Linked DNA regions of Caenorhabditis elegans. The protein of the gene in region 1 interacts with the protein of each later gene in a pairwise test. Each region holds a gene or a part of one and is shown on either strand. Other genes may lie near its edges. The genes, in order: enri-1 and mfap-1.

Region 1 (10,081 bases):
AGGGCTAGGAGGTAAGCTAACGAGAGAAATATGAATTTTTATATAAAAGTTTTTTTTTTCAGACAACCTGCTAGCTGCTCTGATTGATGCCAACGACGGTTTTATAGGATATTTAATTGAAAATGTTTGTACATAAATAAAAATGTGATTGATGATTTTGTTGCGCTTCAAAAGCGAACAGACATGGGCCAATCTTTTTCAGAGTTTTTTTTCTACAAATTCGGCAAATCGGCAAATTTGCCGGTTTGCTGATTTGCCGGAAATTTTCAAATGCGGCAATTTGCTGGAGATTTTCAATTTTGGCAATTTGCCGATTGCCGGAAATTTTTAATTTCAGCAATTTGCCGGTTTGTCGATTTGCCGAAAATTATCAATTTCGGCATTTTGCTGGTTTGCCAATTCATCGGTATTTTTTAATTCCGGCAATTTTCCGGTTTGCCGATTTGAAGACATTTTCAACTGCGTCAATTTGCCGGAAATTTTCAATTTTGGCAATTTCAAAATAGATATAAGAAGATTCATAGGATGCGTACAATTTTACCGATTAAAATTGAAATTCTGAAACTTCCAAAAAAATGTGCAAGACCACAATTTGGCAAAAAATGTTCCACAGTTGCCGTTTTTCCGGCAAATTCGGCAAACTGGTAAGTTAGTTTTAAATTCCGGCAATTTGCCGATTTGCCGATTTGCCGGAAATTTTCAAGTGCAGCAATTTGCCGATTTGCCTATTTGCCAAAAGTTTTCAATTCCGGCAATATGCCATTTGGCCAATTTGGCCGGAAAAATTATTTGCCGCTTACCCCTGAGCGATTGAAAAACCCGCTTGTGATATCATGGGTAAAGATTCCAAGAGATTTGACTCAAAATCGCTGAGACGGAAGGATTATCAGATTATCACTATGGTTACCATGCGCCTGTAGCTATTTTTTAATATTTTTGCTCACCAAGATAATGCTCAAGAAGATTATGATCACCATAGCAACTGAGCTCTATCGCTGAGCTGGCTCCGCGGCTCTCCTCATTCCATCTCCTTTGGGTGCCTACGGAATGTGCGCCCTCCTTTTTTCTCTACTATTGATTTTATGTTAATTTCTACTAAACTTTGCTGGTTTTAATTATTCTCGACAGGTCGAATAAATGCTTGAGCAAAAAAAAACTTTTATTTTAAAAGTTTCAAGGTGAGCAAAACTTGCTAATATCCTTAATATTTTTTTCTGTATTCCAGACTCGGCTACAACTCCCACCGTCAGACACGTCATAGTAACTTACTTCTTCAATTATATCAAATTTTTAAAAAATTTTATTTTTTCATTTCTGCTCTTGTGCACCATCGTCCTAAAAAAAAGTGAGTTATTTTTCTGGAAAATGTTTCTTTTGTGTTCCGATTTTTACGAGTTTTTTTTTCAGAAATTGGTGATCTCGTTATGGAATTAATTGTTGAATTATTGAATTAAAATTGTTATAATAAATTGTTTTTTGTTTTGGTTTTGTTCCGCAAATTTTTTACCATATGGTATGACGTCATAGGGTTGTGACGTCACTACTAAAAAGCGAGGGTCTCCTTTTTCATATTAGAAATAATTTCAAGTAGAAATTGGAGCAAACAAGTGAATTTTGGGAAATTGACATGTGAATTGGTTATCTAAAGAATAGCACGAGTGAGGAAGCAACGACCTTGATAAGAGTGTAGTTTCAATTTCATTTTCTAATTTCTGTCGACTGGCCAGTAAAATAAACAAAATTCGAAAAAAAAATGTCGTTTCTGAAATGCGGAGTTTGCACCGAGGACTATTCAAATGTGATCACAAATCGGCATCCCAAGAATTTGAGTGAGTTTTGACTTGAGACCACTATTGCATAGCTTACGCTAAAAAATGTTCCAAGTTGCGTTGGGCTCCGTCCAAATTTAAAATGTAATAGGCCCATGATTAGCCCAAGAATATCATCTTACTAGATCCGGACAGTTTAACAAGAGTTTGGCCATTCTTGCATTCAGGCTGCGCCAAAAGTTACGTTGGCCCGAAACTTTTGCTGTGTCGGCTTAAACTTACGCTTAAAGCCTAAATCCAAAAAATGTCAAAATTTTGCCCAATTTTTGACCAAGTTTATCTAAATTCTGATCGAAGTCAATACTTTTCGGACCAAATGCCGAGTATAACTAAACTTGGATGGCCTGGATTAGCTTAGGCTAAGGCTTAGCTTAGGCTAATTCTTAAGCTTAGGATTAGGCTTAGGCTAATTCTTAAGCTTAGGATTAGGCTTTGGCGTAGACTTAGGCTGAGACTTAGGCTTGACTAACTAGCCATACAGACCATCAAAACTCGCAAGTCACTTTTCAGCTTGCGGTCACTCAATTTGCAAGGCCTGCTCTTCAAAATTAGTCTCTAATTTCAAAATCCTGTGCCCATTCTGCCGAAAAACCACTGAGCTTCGAGAAAATGAAAACTTGCAGACCAATTTTGCATTGCTAGAGGCTATAAGCTTGTTCAATGATATCAATGAGTCCGTTGTAAGTTGGAATTTTTCATTAATATTGTTGAAGACTTTACACACTATCAGACTGAGCCAAGATCATCTGGAGCACCACCAAATTGCGAGGAGCACACTTATAATCTGGCCGAGTTCGTTTGTATCGTAAGTTTGGTCGATGCACCATGATGCGTGAAATTGCAAGACATGGCGCATCGACCAAAGTTCTTCAGAGTCCAAACTGCTCCAGTCGAAGCAAGCTGATGTGCCGGACTTGTGAGGAGTTCGGAGTCCACGCAGGACATAGAAAAGGGCTTCTGCAGGTTGAAGCTAAGAAAGTTAGGCAGAACCTTCTAGAGCGGCAAAGGAAGCTTCAAGTCAACAAGAAACAGGTTGATGATAAAATTCAAGCACTGGAAAAGTGGGCTTAAAAGTGATTTGTAGAAAAAAGCGACTTCCTGTTTTCAGGGCTGCTCTCAAGAAGAATGATGAGCTATATAAGGAGAAATACGATGAGGTGAGTTTCATTTACAGGTTCTTTCAAAGCCTAAGCCTAAGTGGAAGCCTAAGCCAGAGCCTAAGCCTAAGATTAAGCCTAAACCTTATAGTAAGTTGTACTTTCAGATAACACGACACTACGACAGAATCCGAAGCTCTGTTGCAGAACGAGAAAAGACTTCAAAGGAAGTGTTAAAGAAGAGTGTGCTGACCAGTGAGGAGGACAATCGGATGGGTCAAATCTCCAATCATGTCATCAGGCATCTACTGGAGAAGAAGTGTGAGGAAGTGGAACAGCTCGTCGGGATGACCGATTTCGAGTTGTATCGGGTGAAGGATAAGGTTGACTGGAATGATGAATCCTTTAGTTTCTCGGATGTTAAAGGTGGGGTTTGGAGTTTTATCTCCCCAATAGATATATGAATTTTCAGAAAAACCACCAATGGAATTGAAAACCTTGCATGTGAAGCTTCCAGAATTCCGATTTGAAGATTCGAGCTGAAGTTAAACATCAATATACATACATAAAGCTTATTCCGTCTTCTCATTTTGTATTTTAACAGGCCGACTTGTAGTCTTGTATGTATTCTTGTAGTCTATACTGTAAATGGACTATTGGCCCGGTTTCAGGCCTACCCAGCCGAAACTTTTCAGGTTCCACGCCGCAAGGCAGGCGGAGGTCGTCTCAGGGCCTCAAGATTTTGGAGCCTCCATGGAGCCCCTAGACTAGTTCGGCTATTTCAAAAACCATTCAGACACATTTATTCTTGGGTTCAACGTTGTCATGCAAGAAAAAGAAGAGATCCATAAATTACCAAACATCCAATTTATACATCCAATTATACTCTTCCTCCGAATCATATTCCGGATCCGGTTCCTCATCATCTTCACTGAGATCCTCATTGCAGAAGCCCATGACGTGGCTCGGTATGAGAAAAGTCCCATCGGGTTGGCGCTTCATATTGTAAATGTCAAATGCCGGAGATTTCGGCTTCCGTTTTCGTGGAGCTACTTCGGAGGAGCTGTCTGCATCCTTTGTTGGTAATCCTGATCTTGACTTCAAGATCTGATCGACTCGAGATGGGGGCTGTGATGCTGATGTGGGCTCGAGTTGGGAGCTTGAAGCTTCGTTGGATGGCTTGGATTCCGGTTGCCGGGGTGACGGGAGCTTTGCAGGTTTAGCCGTGAGTGGTTCTAGGTCGGGCTTGCAAGTTCTCACAAAGATCACGTCAGGATCCTCCGGCAGCTCTGATGATCTGAAATAACAAAAAATGTTACTTTAGGCTAGGCTTCTAGGCTAGACTTCAGGCCTGCCGCCTCACGCCTGCCTATCGCCTCATTTCTGAAACAAGTCAAAGGCTTGGTGTTTATACCACATAATGAGCAATATAGTTTTGACGCGGCCGACATTTTTCGGGTTATATATATATATATATATATATATATATATACAGGAGACACGGCTCGCGGCAGGCAGGCATTTTGGCGCCTACATGAAGCTCTACTTCAGGTCCTTACCCGTTCACCAGCTCCGTCAGCCACTTTGGGACTTGGGATCCTCTCATAGTCATCTCCATGTTCAGAGCTTCCTGGTAGATCCGTGCATCCATATTTGTCGTTAAAAAATCAATATCGATGACTTGCTCCGATTGCTGAGCCATTGTGTTGAGCCGATCGAGCATTTTCTTGATTCCAATGATTTTTAGTGGGAAATCGAGGAAGATGTACTGAAAAATAAAATTTCCAGTATTAAAATTGAATTTCGGGTATATTTTTTAGTCTAAATTTCAATTTTTAGCTCGAAATTCAAAAATCGCGTGAAATTCGGTGCTTGCGTACTTTTGGCGCTACCGTAACGCGGAAAATTTTAAAATTGAACTAGAATGGTCTAGTTTTTGAGGTTTAGCATGAAATTTTATGAGAAATTCAATTTTGAGAAGAAAATTTCAAAATAAGTTCCAAGATTTGAATGCGTCGCGGTCGCGTTGAGGCTCAAAATTGAATTCTCGGTGTTAGGATTTTTTCTCCGCATTTTCCTTATCAAATTCGAATTCTCCGTAATTTTCTTAGTTTAACCATGAATTTTCAGCTCGAAAATCGAAAATCGCGTGAAATTCTGTGTTTCTGGGGGTACTGTAGTCGGTGTTCGCGTATCTCTGGTGCTACAGTAACCCTTAAAATTTCAAAATTGAGCTAGAGAGCTCTAGTTTTCGGCTGCCTTAGTAAAATTTTGTGTAGATTTCAGATTTGACTATAAAAATTGGAAATTATCTGAATATCTAACAATATCTGACAACTTTCAGACAACAAGTTTAGTTTTTGGGGCTCAAAAGTTGTTATAATGAATTTTTTATTTAAATGTCGAATTCCACATAATTATCTCAGCTTAACCCCTAGCTTTCAGCAGAAAATTTAAAAATCGCGTAAAATTCTGTTTTTCTGGGAGTACTGTAGTCGGTGTCTGCGTACTTTTGGCGCTACAGTAACCCTTGAAATTCCAAAATTGAGCTAGCGAGCTCTAGTTTTTCAGTATCAAACTGAAATTTTGTGAGGAATTTGAAATTGGCAAGGAAAAGTGTAAATTCGTGCCAAATTTTTTGAATTTTTTACAAATTTTCCAAGTTTTTCAACAAAAAAACTTACATGCTTAGCCAACCCCAACTGAAAATCGTCCATAAAATCCATATTACAAATCGCGAGCATTTTCTCTCCATTATTCACTTGTACCCGTTCTCTTTCCAGCACAGTTTTGTCATTTGTTATTAGATATTCCGAAAACGTTCCGAATATAGTTTTGCTGTCGTAGAGTGTTAGCAGAGCTGCCATTGCCGATTTGTCGTGTTTGCAGAAAATTAGTGTGCGTTCTGGAAAAATTTACATTTTTTTCGCATTTTCCATGAAAAATTCGGATTCTCCACTATTTTCTTAGTCTATCTGTAAATTTTCAGCTCAAAATTCAAAAATCGCGTAAAATTCGGTGTTTGCGTACTTTTGGCGCTACCGTAACCCTCGAAATTTCAAAATTGAGCTAGAAACTTCTATTTTTTGCGGGTTAGACTGAAATTTTATGGGGAATTCGAATTTGAAACGTAAACTTCAAAAATTTAAATTGTTGGAAATTTTTGAATGCGTTGCGGTCGCGTCGCGGCTCAAAAATTAATTTTGCAAAGTTATTAGCCATTTTTTCGAATTTTTTAGAGAATTCGAATTCTTCATAATTTTCTTAGTCTATTCCTAATTTCTTAGCTCAAAATTAGGAGATCGCGTGAAACTCGGTGTTTCTGGAGTACTGTAGTCGGTGTTTGCGTATTTTTGGCGCTACCGTAACCCTCTAAATTTCAAAATTGAGCTAGACAACTCTAGTTTTTAGTTACAAGAGTGACTTTTTTGTAAAGAATTCGATTTATTTAATAATAATTTTCCAAAATAAAAAATCACTCACCAAAACTATTACTGGCTTCAAACGTCTTTTTATCCTCAGCCAAAAACTCGAAGACCTTCTCCATTTTCCGTTCATGTGCGATTTTTTCATTGTTGCAGTTTTGTACTTGATGAGCATTAATTCGGGTGAATTTTGCTATTTTCATAGCGAATTTCTGGAAAATATATCGATTTTTAGTTAGAAAAAAGGTGAAAAAAAGTAAAAAATATATGTATCAAAAACCATAAAAATTGGGAATTTTTAGAAAAAAAACCCAAAGAAAGTTTAAAAATTCTTCAAAAATTGGAAAAATGATAGTGTAAATCTACAACACAAATTGCTCAATGGACAATTTTCAGGAAAGCTTATTAATTTTTCTGAGAAAGATTTGAAAAAAAATGCACTGAATTTTTGGAATTTATAAGGTTTTTAATTCAATATTCTGAAAAACGGAAATCTACATCCCAAATTGCTCACCGCCCAAATTTCGAAAACAAACCAAAAAATCTATAGAAAAACGGAATTGTTTTGCATAAAATGAACGCGTAAAGGTCAGGGGGCTTGCGGGCAGGAAGAAGAGAGTGTGAAGAGGAGTATGAGACCCAGACGTGCAAAACCACAGAAATAAGATGTAAAGAAAACAGTATGTAATAGTAAGAGACACCAGAGAAATTGGCGTAAAATTGCGGAGTCGTTGTGGCAGCTGGGGGTGTTCGATAGGTGCGGGCTATGGGAAAAACTTCAAAACAGCCGGAAAATAATGGAAAATAAAATTTTTTTTTGCCGGAATAAAATATGGAAATTGGCAACAAAAAAATTTTAAAATTAAGAAGTTTAGGAATTGCTGACAAGATTGGAAATTTCCCAGCGATATAACAAAAAATTACCAAAACTTTTCAAAAAGTTGCTAAAAAATTGCCAAAACTTACCAAAAAGTTGTTAAAATTGCCAAAAATTTCCAAAAAGTTTCTCGTAAATTGCCAAAAAATACATAATCTTGAAGTTATTGAAAAATTGCCAAAAAATAACCAAAAACTTCTGAAAATCTATGAAAAATTTCTAATTACTGAAAACTGTCGTACAATAAGTATTATATAACTTGCGAAAAAAGTTCCAAAAAAACTGAAAAACTAGCAAAAAACATAGGAAAGTTGCCCGAAATCGCCGAAAAATTGCAAATTGGTACGGTAATTTGGCAAAAAAAAGGGAAAATGCAAAAAAAAAACTATCTAAAAAAACTAAAATCTGGAGAAAATGGCAACAAATATTTTAAAAGTTCAGAAAATCTCTGTAAATTTGCCAAAAAACTTCCAAACTAGCCAAAAACACATCTACTGAAAATCTAAAAAAAATAATTTTTGGTGAGAAATGTCGAAAAAAAAAGGTGCCAAAAATTACGAAAACTGCCCGAAAACCACTTGAAAAGTAGTGTAAATCAGGTAGAAGTTGGCGAAAATTTACAGAAATTTGGCGAAAGTTGGCGAAAATTGGAGAATTTCTGAAGTTTCTCATAGAAATCTACCTATTTTTTCAATAATTCTTCTAAAAAGTCGATAACTTTCCACTTTCTCACCCTCAATGCACCATGTGCCCCCCGCTAAACGACACTCCGCTCTCCCGTCAGCGGTGCGTGCTGTTTATCGTAAATCCACACAGCAGGGGAATTTGAATGGGAAATTGTGGTTTTGTGGGTTTTAAGTAGTTTTTATTGGTTTTTAATAAAATTTTCAATGACTACTAATGCGAAAAGAAGTTTTGAAAGAAAAATCGTGAAAAATTCAGAGAAAATCGATAAAAATTAGGATTTTTTTTGTAAAAATACCAAAAATTATGAAAAATTTTACGAATTTTCATCAATTTCAGCAATGTTCCTACTCGATTTTTTATTTCTCGTCTCCTGGATTCTTCTTCTACTCGGCATATTCATTTTAACTCGGGAAGCCGTATTCCAATGGCATAAATCTGAAAATTTATCAATTTTTGGAGCATTTCTAGTTACCATGTAAGGTTTTCAGAGAGAAAATTTGCAATGAAAAACAAAAAAATTTTTAGGATAATATTTATCGAAGCAATTCTGATGTTGGAGGAGCATAAATGGAAAGATGGTGGGTTTTTTTTGTATATTTCAAAATTTTTTCTGAGGTTTTTTACAAAGAAATTCGAATTTTCCGTCACTTTATTAGTCTACCGATGAATTTTCAGCTCAAAATTCGAACATTGCGTGAAATTCGGTGTTTGCGTACTTTTGGCGCTACCGTAACCCTCGAAATTTCAAAACTGAGCTAGAAAGCTCTAGTTTTTGATTTTTAGACTGAAATTTTATGTGGATTTCAAATTTGAAAGTTAAAAATTCTGAAAAATCTCAGAATTTCCAACAAATCAATTATTTTCAGACACCTTATCTAATCAGCTGCTCCGGTGGATGTTTGGCAAGGCAGAAAGTACACATTGGAAATGGCATGTGAATCCAGTTACAGTACCTTTTAGTCTACTTGGACGGATTATAATATTGTGTGCTTCAGTAGTAAGTTTTAGATATTTTGAAGAAAACTGAAATCTCGAGTTTTCCAAGAAAACCAGAAGTTTTTGTGTAATTTTAGTGCAAAATCTGAAAACCTTATAAAATTTCAGGCTAAGCACAAAAAACTAGAAGCTTCTAGCGCAATTTTGAAAATCCCGGGTTACGGTAGCGCCAAAAGGACGCAAACACCGACTACAGTACACCAGAAACACCGAATTTCACGCGATTTTCGATTTTTCAGCTGAAAACTCACGGATATACAAAGTGAACAGCGGAGAATTCAAATTTAATAATGGAAATTCAATCTAATAGTGTTTGCGTATTTTTGGGGCTACAGTAACCCAAAAAAAACAAATTCAAATTCAAAATCAAGCTAGAGACTTCTAGTTTTCTGTGTTTAAGCTGAAATTTTATGCAAAATTCGAATTTTTGCTTTAAAAATTTAAAAACTATATTTTCAGTTCGGTGAATCGTGTGGAAAACTAATTGGCCGCTTCATCGCAGAGCTTCCACTTGCCACGTCACTAGTGATGGTTCCATTCTCATTTTTGTGCATTTTCCTTGGAATCTTTTGTATTTTTGGATATCAATTTAATATTGGTTATGGATTTCTGAAAGTTGAACGCAATAATCGTCTGAAATCGATTTTCAAACCATCGGATACGGCGGGAAATTCGTCAAAAAAATTGGAGAAATGCATTTCAAAAATTGATTTTTGCGTGAAGAAAGTTAATGAAGGATATCAGAAAACAATTGAGAAGCTGAAAAATTGAAATTCGATTTTTTAAAGAATATTTTATGGGTTTTGTAAATAAATAAACGGTTCTAATTTCAATTTTCTGTTAAATGTATTTTTCAAGCAAAATTGGTGAATAGTTAGACAAGAGTAATAAGCCAAAGTAGATCCCGTTCTTGTGTAACTGGATTTCCAACAAGCTAATGTCTCAATGATAAGATAAAAGAACAGAGATTGATGGGGAGATCACTAAAGAGGCGCTATTTTTATTCAAAATTGATCTTCATTATAAAGTTTAAGACGACTTTCGTAGCTCATTTAAGCCTTAATTTGTTGATTTTTTAGCTGGTAAATATGTCTTCGGACCTTTTTGTGAAAGAAAAACGTTTTCAAAGGTGCATCCATTACTTATTTCAAGCAATTTTTAAGCTTAAAA
Region 2 (8,980 bases), on another chromosome or scaffold:
CTTCCAGATCGATTACAGTACACTTGATAATTTGGACATATAAAAAAATGAATAGGAAAATTTCACGTTATGATTACCAGAACCGGTTGAGAATGTAGGGAATACGTTGGAAATTACATGTGGCGGGTGTTTCCCATGTTAAGTCCTGAAGCAGTTGCCCCTTTGTTGCTGCCCATTTGAAGACCAATCACGTTATGTCCAGCTTTCAATTGCTCATCGGTCCATTCACGACGATCTCCTTGAGCTTCCTTCGGTCCGAGACCAGATCGACCGAAGTTCTTCTCAGACTTTCGTGCCAAAGAAGCGAGACAGATGAGGACAGCATTTGGGTCCTGTCCTTCGTAGAGATCAACAGTCTGAAAACAATTGATGTCATAATGTGTTTAGTGAAAGGACAAACCTGGAAGAGTTCCGACTTTTGCACATACTCCTCAGCAAACTTCAGGAAGAAAGAGATGTTCTCCATTTTCTTGAATGCCATGGCAGATGTGTTGACCTTCTTGACGCTTCCTGGTTTCAAAGAATTGGCAAGAGTGCAGAGAAGACTTCCATCTTGAAAAACCTTGACCAAGTTGTCAGCGTCTCCTTGGGTGTCGAAAGATTGGCCAGTGACGTTCTGAAAAATGTTTCAAATCGTGAATCGAAGAAGGAGCATAACTTATTTGTATGATTTTCTTCGTTTGCAATGTAAACATATGACTTTGCCAAGAATCAATAAACGTTTGAAAAGTTTCACAAAATTACCTGAACCCATTGAAGAATTTCTCCGGCAAGATTCTTATCGTATTTCTCGTAGATTTTCTGCTGGGCCTCCAATGCAATTCCAGACTTTTCAGCGCGATCCGAAGAAGCGAAAGCGGACATTTTCTAGAACGAATAAGTTTGAAAGAAAAAAAGCGTATAGTTAACGACGAGAAAAAATATTTATAAACAAAAGAGGTTCTTCCACTCTCCGCTAACCAAAAATGGTGAAATTCTTCTGACTCATCGCAAAGTTTTGGTTCTCCGCCTACGTCTTGCGTTTTTGATAAGGAACATTTGATTGAACGGTGTTTGATAAAAAAGAATTGGAAGAGTTTAATCGAAAATAGCCCAAAAATAACAATTTAAGAGTGCTCTCGGGAGAAAACTGCCGGTTTGAATGAAGATATGAGAAATGTGCTCAGGAGCGCTCCTAAAATTCAGGCGGTCTTTTGTAGTTAAAGGAACATTCAAGAGGCAACAGTACCGGGTCCCATAGCGAAACAAAAGTTTGTGGTGATCGCTAGATTTTTGTGTTTGATTTTGAAAATACTGTTCTTTTTCTCCAACATTAAAAGAAGATGTTTTAAATAAAATTCAGCAAATTATTAATATTTCATTGTAAAAATAGATTTTTAGAACTTTCTCGAGCTCGAGGCACTCAAAATAAAGTTACTTTGGTTCTATGTCGCAATCTAAAAAGAGCGATAAAAAAATGAAAGCTACATAAGCATGGAAAAATTTTTCAAAAAGAGATTTTGCAGCTCAAATAAGAAAACTACGATCTAATATCCTGGTTTATAAAAAACATAAAACTAATGAAAGAAAACGAAAACTACTTCTTGAAAGAAATATTACCGGTACAGAGAGTGTAGATAGTTAGAGAGTGACAGACATCCGGGACCCAATGGGGCGGGCGCGCGGAAGAGACGATTTGTGTCGATTTACGAAATGATGACAACGAGGAAAATTTCGTAAATCGGCACAAATCGTCTCTTCCGCGCGTCCCGCCCCATTGGGTCCCGGATGTCTGTCACTCTCTAACTATCTACACTCTCTGTACCGGTAATAGGACACTTTGCAAACATGCATACAAACACGCCAATGACCCTTTTCTAATTAAAAACGCAAAACCACTTTTCAAGAGTCGACCGATCGGAAAAGGTGGCGATCGACAACACACTCCTCACAACATGATGACGAAAACCTTGAAAAGGAATAGAAAAAAACAAGGACGAATGGTGAGCGGCTCGTTTAGGTTGAATGCATTTGAAAAATATGAAAACGAGAGTCGATATGGGAATTCTCAATAAAACATTTGAAAGTCCGAATAGGAGAGGTTCACAAACCAAATGAGGGGAGAAACGAACCGTCTGTTGGTTTTTTTTGTTTCGAACACACAGTTGTGTTTGTCCTTTGCATTAGCTGGTATGACGAGAACTTTGAACTTTGGCGTTGAATAATTGCTACTGCAACACGTATTGTACTGGTGTATTTTAATCGCACAATTACTCTGAAACATTTTTTATTCTTAGAAAACAAATAAATAGAAATCGAAGTACAAAAAATTGGGATTTTCAGGAATGTGCAAGCTTTTTCAGTTCTTTCGCTTTTTTGTTGCAGGTCTCTCAAAAACTGGTCTGGATCCTCCGGCTCTTTTCGTGGAGAATTGAGAATTCAACTGATTCGTTGATGCCCAAACACCTTGATGATCTGTTGTATCTTCTTCTGTCAAGTGCGTATACTTGGTTCGAGATGCTTTTCCAAAGTTTTTGACCTGAAATAAATAATTTAGTTCAATTATCACTATAATAAGTTACGAGTATTTACCTGCATAACTTTCGGCAGAATAGTTTTATCAAATTGATCATCGTTGGTAGCTTCGGCAAAGTTTCTCTTGAGTACTTCATCTTCTTCATCCAAGAAGAAAGCTCCACGATGGAAATATTTTTGAAGGAACTTGTATTTTCCTTTGTCCTGTTTGTTAGTGATAACCTTTGGATTTAAACGAAGATATTTGAGTCGTTCTTCCTCGGACATTGCGTGAATCTTGTCAAGTTCTGCCTTCTCGCGTGCGGCTTCTTCACGTTCGTCACGGTTTCTCTGCAAAAAAAAATTGGATATCGGATATTATAGTGAGAATTTTTTTGAGAAATTTCTATGTCAATTTATTAAAAAACTCAAAAAAAAAACTTCGAAGATCTACATTCAAAATTTTGCAGCAAAAATTTACCTTCAATCGTTTCATTTCTCTGAGCTTCCACGCCTCATATGCCATATTTTCAGTTTCATCGTCGGTTAGAACAGATGACAAATCAACACGATCTTCTGTTTTTCTTTTCTCAGCAGCTTCTTCCTCTTGAAGAACCTTTTCAACTAATTTTGCACTTTCTCTCTTCCGTTCTTCAGCTCTTTTTTCGTCTTCGATCTTTTTCAGAATTTCTTTTTCTTTCTCCTTCTCGGCTTCTTGCAAAGTGATACGATCCTTCTTTCTTGTGAAAATAGGCTTCAATCTTGGAACTGGATCGTCATCTTCATCTGAATCTTCCTCTTCACTACTTTCTTCTTCTTCCTCCTCTTCAACATCATCTTCTTCAAGTTCTTCTTTAATTTCTCGTTTTATTTCTTCCTCTCTTTTAATAGCTCTATCTCTGAGCATTTGACGTCTTCTTTCAAAATCTTCTTCATCTGATTCAGCACTGTCTTCTTGTTCTTCATCTTTTTCTCTGTTATTTTCATGTAATTCCAATCTTCTCATTCTGGCTCTTTCTCTTCTCTCTTCTTGTTTCTCTTCGTCTTCTTCAGATTCCTGTTCATTTTCAGATGATTCGTCCTCTACTTTTCCAAGAACTTCTGGCTTCTCCACCTGTCGTCGTCTACCATAATCTTCGTGTCTTCTGTGGCGTCTTCTATCTTCTTCATCACTACTTTCACGACGTCTACGTCTTCTTCGATCATCATCTCGATCTGTCTCTCGGTCTGATTCACTGCTGTCACTGTCGTAGTTACGAGCATATTCTGGTCTGAAAATCAATGTTTTAAAGACTAATTCAACCATTAAACGAAAAAAAACTTACGCCTTTCCAGCCACATATCTTGAAACTTTCACTTTCTGCATAACAGTTTGTCCTTTCTCATTTTTGATTGGAATGGCTCCAAGAGTCGGAAGACGCGAATGTCCGAAACTTCGATTATCGCTTTCGCGTTGTTCAAATCCAGGTACATAATCTCCCATTCTGAAAGTTATTTTTAAAATTAACCCTTTTTAATTTCGGCAAAAAATAGTCAGAAACAATAAAGAGTAAATATGTAAAATTTTTAATTGAATTTTTCGAAAAAAATAATAAGCATTAAATTGCTCGTAAGTTATAATGCATAAAGAGTACCTCACGTGGTGTATGCAGACCCAACAGCACATCTTACGACAGTCTCGTTTACGAAAATATTTTCAAATATCAATTTTGGCCAAATTTTCTTGCTAAACGCTCATTTTTTTCTTTTTTTTTTACTCAAAACGTTTTTCAGAATGTTCCGTAAACCAAAGGCAAAAGGTGCTATTCGCCAACGGAAATCTGACGGATGGGATGAACCTGATGCTGAAAACCAACAAGTAGTCTCGGCTATCGAAGTGAGTTTTAATGAATTTCAACATTCTTTTTAATTTAATTTTTATTTAAAGGTCAAACAACCTGCTGTGCCTCGTCCAGCCATGAGTTTCGATGCTGATGAAGGAGCTGATTCGACGTTCAAACTTAAGAAAGACAAGAAAAAAGTTGAAGAATTGAAACGTCAACACAAACTAGAGGAGGAAGCTGAAAAATTATATAAGGAAGAGAAAATTCGTAAGGAAGCGCTTGATAAAATTGTGAAAAAGGAGAAACTCTCAAAAGAAGACAAAAAGACGAAAAATGAGCGGCATAAATACCTTGACAAATATCGTGACAAATCTGCTAAGCACATTTCGAATTCGGAGAGCTACGAATACGAAGAAAATTTGGATATTGATGCAGAAGCAATTTCATCAGTTTCCAATAAATTCAATTCTGCTTTTGAAGGTATTCCCGACTCTCGTGCCGTTTTCGAAGCAAAAAAACGCCGAGAACGAGCCAGAAGAGAGGGAAATCAAGACGGATATATTCCTTTGGATGACACACAAAAACTTAAATCTAAAAGTGAACGAAATCGATTGATTCGAGAAGATGAGAATGATGATTCGGATGAAGAGTGTACAAATAAATTCTATTCGGCTCGTGAGCTACTTCGAACAGAAGAAGATCGTCGTAGAGAAGAACAAGAAGGATTTTTAGAACGAGAAAATGGAGATATTGATGAAGCTGAACGAATAAAAGGTGATGATGATAGTGAAAATGAGGAATGGGAAAAACAACAAATTCGGAAAGCTGTTAGTCGGAGAGAGGTGAGCTTTTTGTGGTAATAGAGATCGTGAATCTGAAAATTTAAAAATTATAGATAGGCCAACTGCGAACAGAAAAACGAAATACTTCTAAATTATTTGGGCATACAGTTCCTGTTGAAGATGACACAGCAATGGATATGGATATTGATCTTGATATGGATGTTCAAGTAATTGGAAAACCGGAATTTACTGGTATATTATTTTGTTTGAAGACAAATAATTTTAATTAATTTCAGGACCATCAAATACCGGAGGAGTTGTAAAAATTGAAGATATTCTTGCTAAATTAAAATTGCGGATTCAAGAACGAGATGAAGCATTGAATTTCAGAAAAGAAGAAAAACGAAAATTGGAGCAAAATATTGAAGAAAACAAATCAATGATTGCAAAGGTAACAAGTATTTCAATAATTATATATATATATCATTTTTTAATAATTTCAGATTGAAATGGAGCTTCCTAACCAAAGTACCAAATACACAATGTATCAAGAATTACGAGTGTATTCCCGTAGTCTTTTAGAATGTCTGAATGAAAAAGTTGGCGAAATTAATTCGATTATCGATAAGAAAAGAGATTGTGGGAAATCCAGGACTTCAAGACTCTCGGTACGTAGAAGACAAGACATGAGGGATCAACATGCAGAATGTATGCAGGGAAGAAATGCAAGAATGGGTGAGGCCGCTGGAAGAGCAGCAGAACGTGACGCCAGAAGGTACGTATTTTTTTGAAATAGTTTAATTGACAGGTCTGTGGGAAATCTGTCAATATCAATATCTGTGCTTTCTAAAAATAATCATAGCTGAAAATGATGGGTCTCGGCACGAATTTTTTTTACGAATTCAGAAAGTTTATAAATTCTAAAACTTTCCGAAAATGTAGAACAAATATTTATGGGATTATTCAAGTAATGTAGCAAAATGTATTTAAGTACATTTGTGACGTCACAAATGTATTTAAATACATGTTTTTATCTACTTGAATAAGGTGACGTAATTTTTCTACACTTTTTAATTTTCCGACATTACTTGAATAACCCCATTAATTATACTTTCAACCAACTAATTAAAATTTAAATATAGTCCCTTTAGTTTGAGTTCTGTTTTTATTTTCTTTCATCGCACACATAGATATTCATACTCAATTTTTTTTTCTATTTCGCAATAATCATGTGAAAATATTTCCCATATGACAATAGACGATCTCTCACAACTATGACATTTCACTTTTTAGAAAAAAAAATCTCATTCTTGTTCAGATTATTTCTATCAAAATCTATATATTTATATATTTCAGAGGCCGTCGACGTCGAGAACGTGAATTTACACTTGCTAGAATTAATCATGAAGAAGGATTAAGTACAGATGATGAAGAACCAACTCCCCAGTCAATGAATGATCAAAAGATCTGTGATGAAGTGGAAGCAGTTGCTTCTGTTTTATTTGCAGATGCTCTAGATGAGTATTCTGATCTTCGAAAAGTTTTTGGACGGATGACGGATTGGTTGGCAGTTGATCCGAAGTCGTTTCAGGATGCTTATGTTTATTTGTGTATTCCAAAGTTGAGCTCTCCGTATGTTCGACTACAGATACTCAGAGCGGATTTTCTTAGAGTAAGTAATTTTGTATAGCTTTACAAAACAAAAAAAAAATTTCAGAAAGAAACAATCTTAACTTCTATGCAATGGTTCCATATCGCAATGCTTGCTGGCTCAGAAAATGCAGAAATTGATCAAAGTCATGAAATCCTAGTCGAGCTGGCGCCAGCCATCGTTGAAAAAGTTGTGATTCCATTTTTAATAGGTTTGTTTTTGAAACTTTCATCAAATTTTGGTGATTTTTCTGCTTTCCAAACAAAAATTATTTTTCAAAAACCATATTACAGATACCGTAAAAGAGGAATGGGATCCAATGTCTCTTCGACAAACTCGTCATCTCACAACATTTTGTTCACTTTTTGAAAAACTGCCAAATTTGACGGAAAAAAGCAAGCAATTCAACGCATTTCTAAATGCAATTCGAGAACGAATTTGTGATTGTATTTCTGAAGATCTTTTTATGCCAATTTTCATGCCAAATGCTCTTGAACAACCTATTTGTCGACAATTTCACGATCGACAATTTTGGACTTGTATTAAGGTAATACTTATCTTATCACTAAAACAATACAAAAACATCGAGAAAATTGGTTGAAAAAAAAGATAATTGATTTCCATAGAATTAAGGGTGTTGGATTTGAGAACGTTGAAAAATTTCCTTTTTTTAAAGATTTTTCGATTTTTCATAAACTTTTCCTTATTTTTTCTCTGAAAAACCGCGAAAACCCAAAATTTTTTGCCGACAGCTCTTTTCAGAAACTTTTTAGTACAACATAAATAGCTATTTTGAATATCTCGAAATATAATGTTTGAAACCCCTTTTTTCAAAATTTCCAAAAAAAAAATTACAGCTCATAAAATCGATAAATGCCCTCTCACCACTGATATCAATTGCCGCCAGATTTGAATTGGTTGTTGAAAAATGTGTCAACTCTCAATGTGTTATGGCTCTTCGTACTGGTTCGAAAAACGACGTGACTGCTGAACGAAAGGTTCGGGGATTGCTCGCCGAGCTTGATGATTCGCTTTTGAAAATGGGTGGAAGAACATCATTTCGTCAATTAATTGGAACACTCGAGCTAATTGCTGAAGAGCAGAGTAAAGCAGGAAGGTAAGTGACATGAAATCAAATTATTCATGAAAATAATTTATTTTTCAGGAGCTTCCACAAGGAGATTCGAAAGTTTTTGGAGAAACTCGAGCGGTGATTGATTTCTGAAAAAAAGCATAAAAAACCGGTTTCATCAATTAGTTTTTAATTTTTTTTATTTCCTTCTCTTTCTGTTCTGTCAAATTTACAAAATAATGAATTATTTATTTTATTTTCATTCCCATTCTATTCCTTATCAAAATGTTTTTTGATCATCGAGCTATTTTCTTGCCATTATTTTCATTTGCTTTATGTTTCAGTTGTTCAGATTTTCACAAAAGAAATCAATTTTTAGATGAGTACACTTGCTCAAAGATTTAGCACATTAGTGCGCATGTATGAAAAAACTGCGAATCGACAATTAGGAGAGCTGAGAGTTTTACAGAGAATAGCGTTACAAGGAGGACTCAGGGATACACCTGCGCTTAGAGATTCGGTCAGTTTTTAAACCACTAAAACGAAAATTTGAGAAAAAAAAAAGTTTTTAAAAACTCCCAGCTGAAATTATAAAATTAAATTGTAAAAAAAATTTCAGATAGCAGCATATGAAAAAGATTTGGAAGATGGATTACGTGGTATTCTCACAGTTCGTGGAGAGTTGCATGATTCACGACAAGAAAATGAATTTGATTCTATAATTGACCCTATCAGGTATTCCAAAATTATTTAACAAAAAATAGTTAGCTCAAATTTTTGCAGACAGCAAATTAAAACCTTGTTAAATGTGACAAGATCCCTACCCGCTGTCAATTTACCCGGATCAAATCCTTTTGAACAAGCAACAGAAGACGATAATCCATATGAAATGGAATCACGAAGGTAGGAAACTATCAAAGAATTTACAATAATTTTCATATTTCCAGATACCTCCGAGAAACAACGTTGAAAGACAATGAACTACGACAATTGGCAGATGATATGAAGGAACGGGCTGAAGCGACAGTGAAAATTGAAAAGGATATGGCTGATTTAGAGAAAATATTTCAAGAACTTGGAAGAATTGTTCACGAACAACATGATGTTGTAGATTCAATTGAGGAGCAGGTTGAAAGAGCAACTGAAGATGTTAAACGAG

The links.
Region 2: the proteins of enri-1 (region 1) and mfap-1 interact in a two-hybrid assay, tested with the Caenorhabditis elegans proteins (one study listed by BioGRID).

Annotation. Positions count from the first base shown.
Region 1 is NC_003280.10:2,334,184-2,344,264, forward strand, and holds enri-1 (Enhanced Nuclear RnaI (RNAi), T. Duchaine), read right to left. Parts: upstream 6,564-10,081; 5' UTR 6,555-6,563; coding exon 6,410-6,554; intron 5,832-6,409; coding exon 5,611-5,831; intron 4,860-5,610; exon of another isoform or gene 4,794-4,859; intron 4,695-4,793; coding exon 4,486-4,694; intron 4,224-4,485; coding exon 3,779-4,223; 3' UTR 3,714-3,778; downstream 1-3,713. Other genes in the region: F43C11.8 (RING-type domain-containing protein), read left to right, coding at 1-11, 63-87; F43C11.7 (RING-type domain-containing protein), read left to right, coding at 1,754-1,829, 2,340-2,509, 2,560-2,634, 2,703-2,890, 2,938-2,986, 3,094-3,352, 3,399-3,469; F43C11.6 (MotA/TolQ/ExbB proton channel domain-containing protein), read left to right, coding at 8,254-8,390, 8,441-8,493, 8,782-8,912, 9,371-9,682.
Region 2 is NC_003279.8:8,636,260-8,645,239, forward strand, and holds mfap-1 (Microfibrillar-associated protein 1), read right to left. Parts: upstream 3,978-8,980; 5' UTR 3,977-3,977; coding exon 3,819-3,976; intron 3,765-3,818; coding exon 2,975-3,764; intron 2,845-2,974; coding exon 2,572-2,844; intron 2,519-2,571; coding exon 2,339-2,518; 3' UTR 2,255-2,338; downstream 1-2,254. Other genes in the region: cpn-1 (Calponin-homology (CH) domain-containing protein), read right to left, coding at 114-356, 401-616, 745-864; mog-7 (GCF C-terminal domain-containing protein), read left to right, coding at 4,268-4,369, 4,421-5,158, 5,212-5,350, 5,395-5,549, 5,602-5,873, 6,455-6,770, 6,816-6,960, 7,043-7,296 and 2 more; syx-17 (t-SNARE coiled-coil homology domain-containing protein), read left to right, coding at 8,240-8,341, 8,441-8,556, 8,605-8,724, 8,769-8,980. UniProt on the Caenorhabditis elegans protein: Involved in pre-mRNA splicing.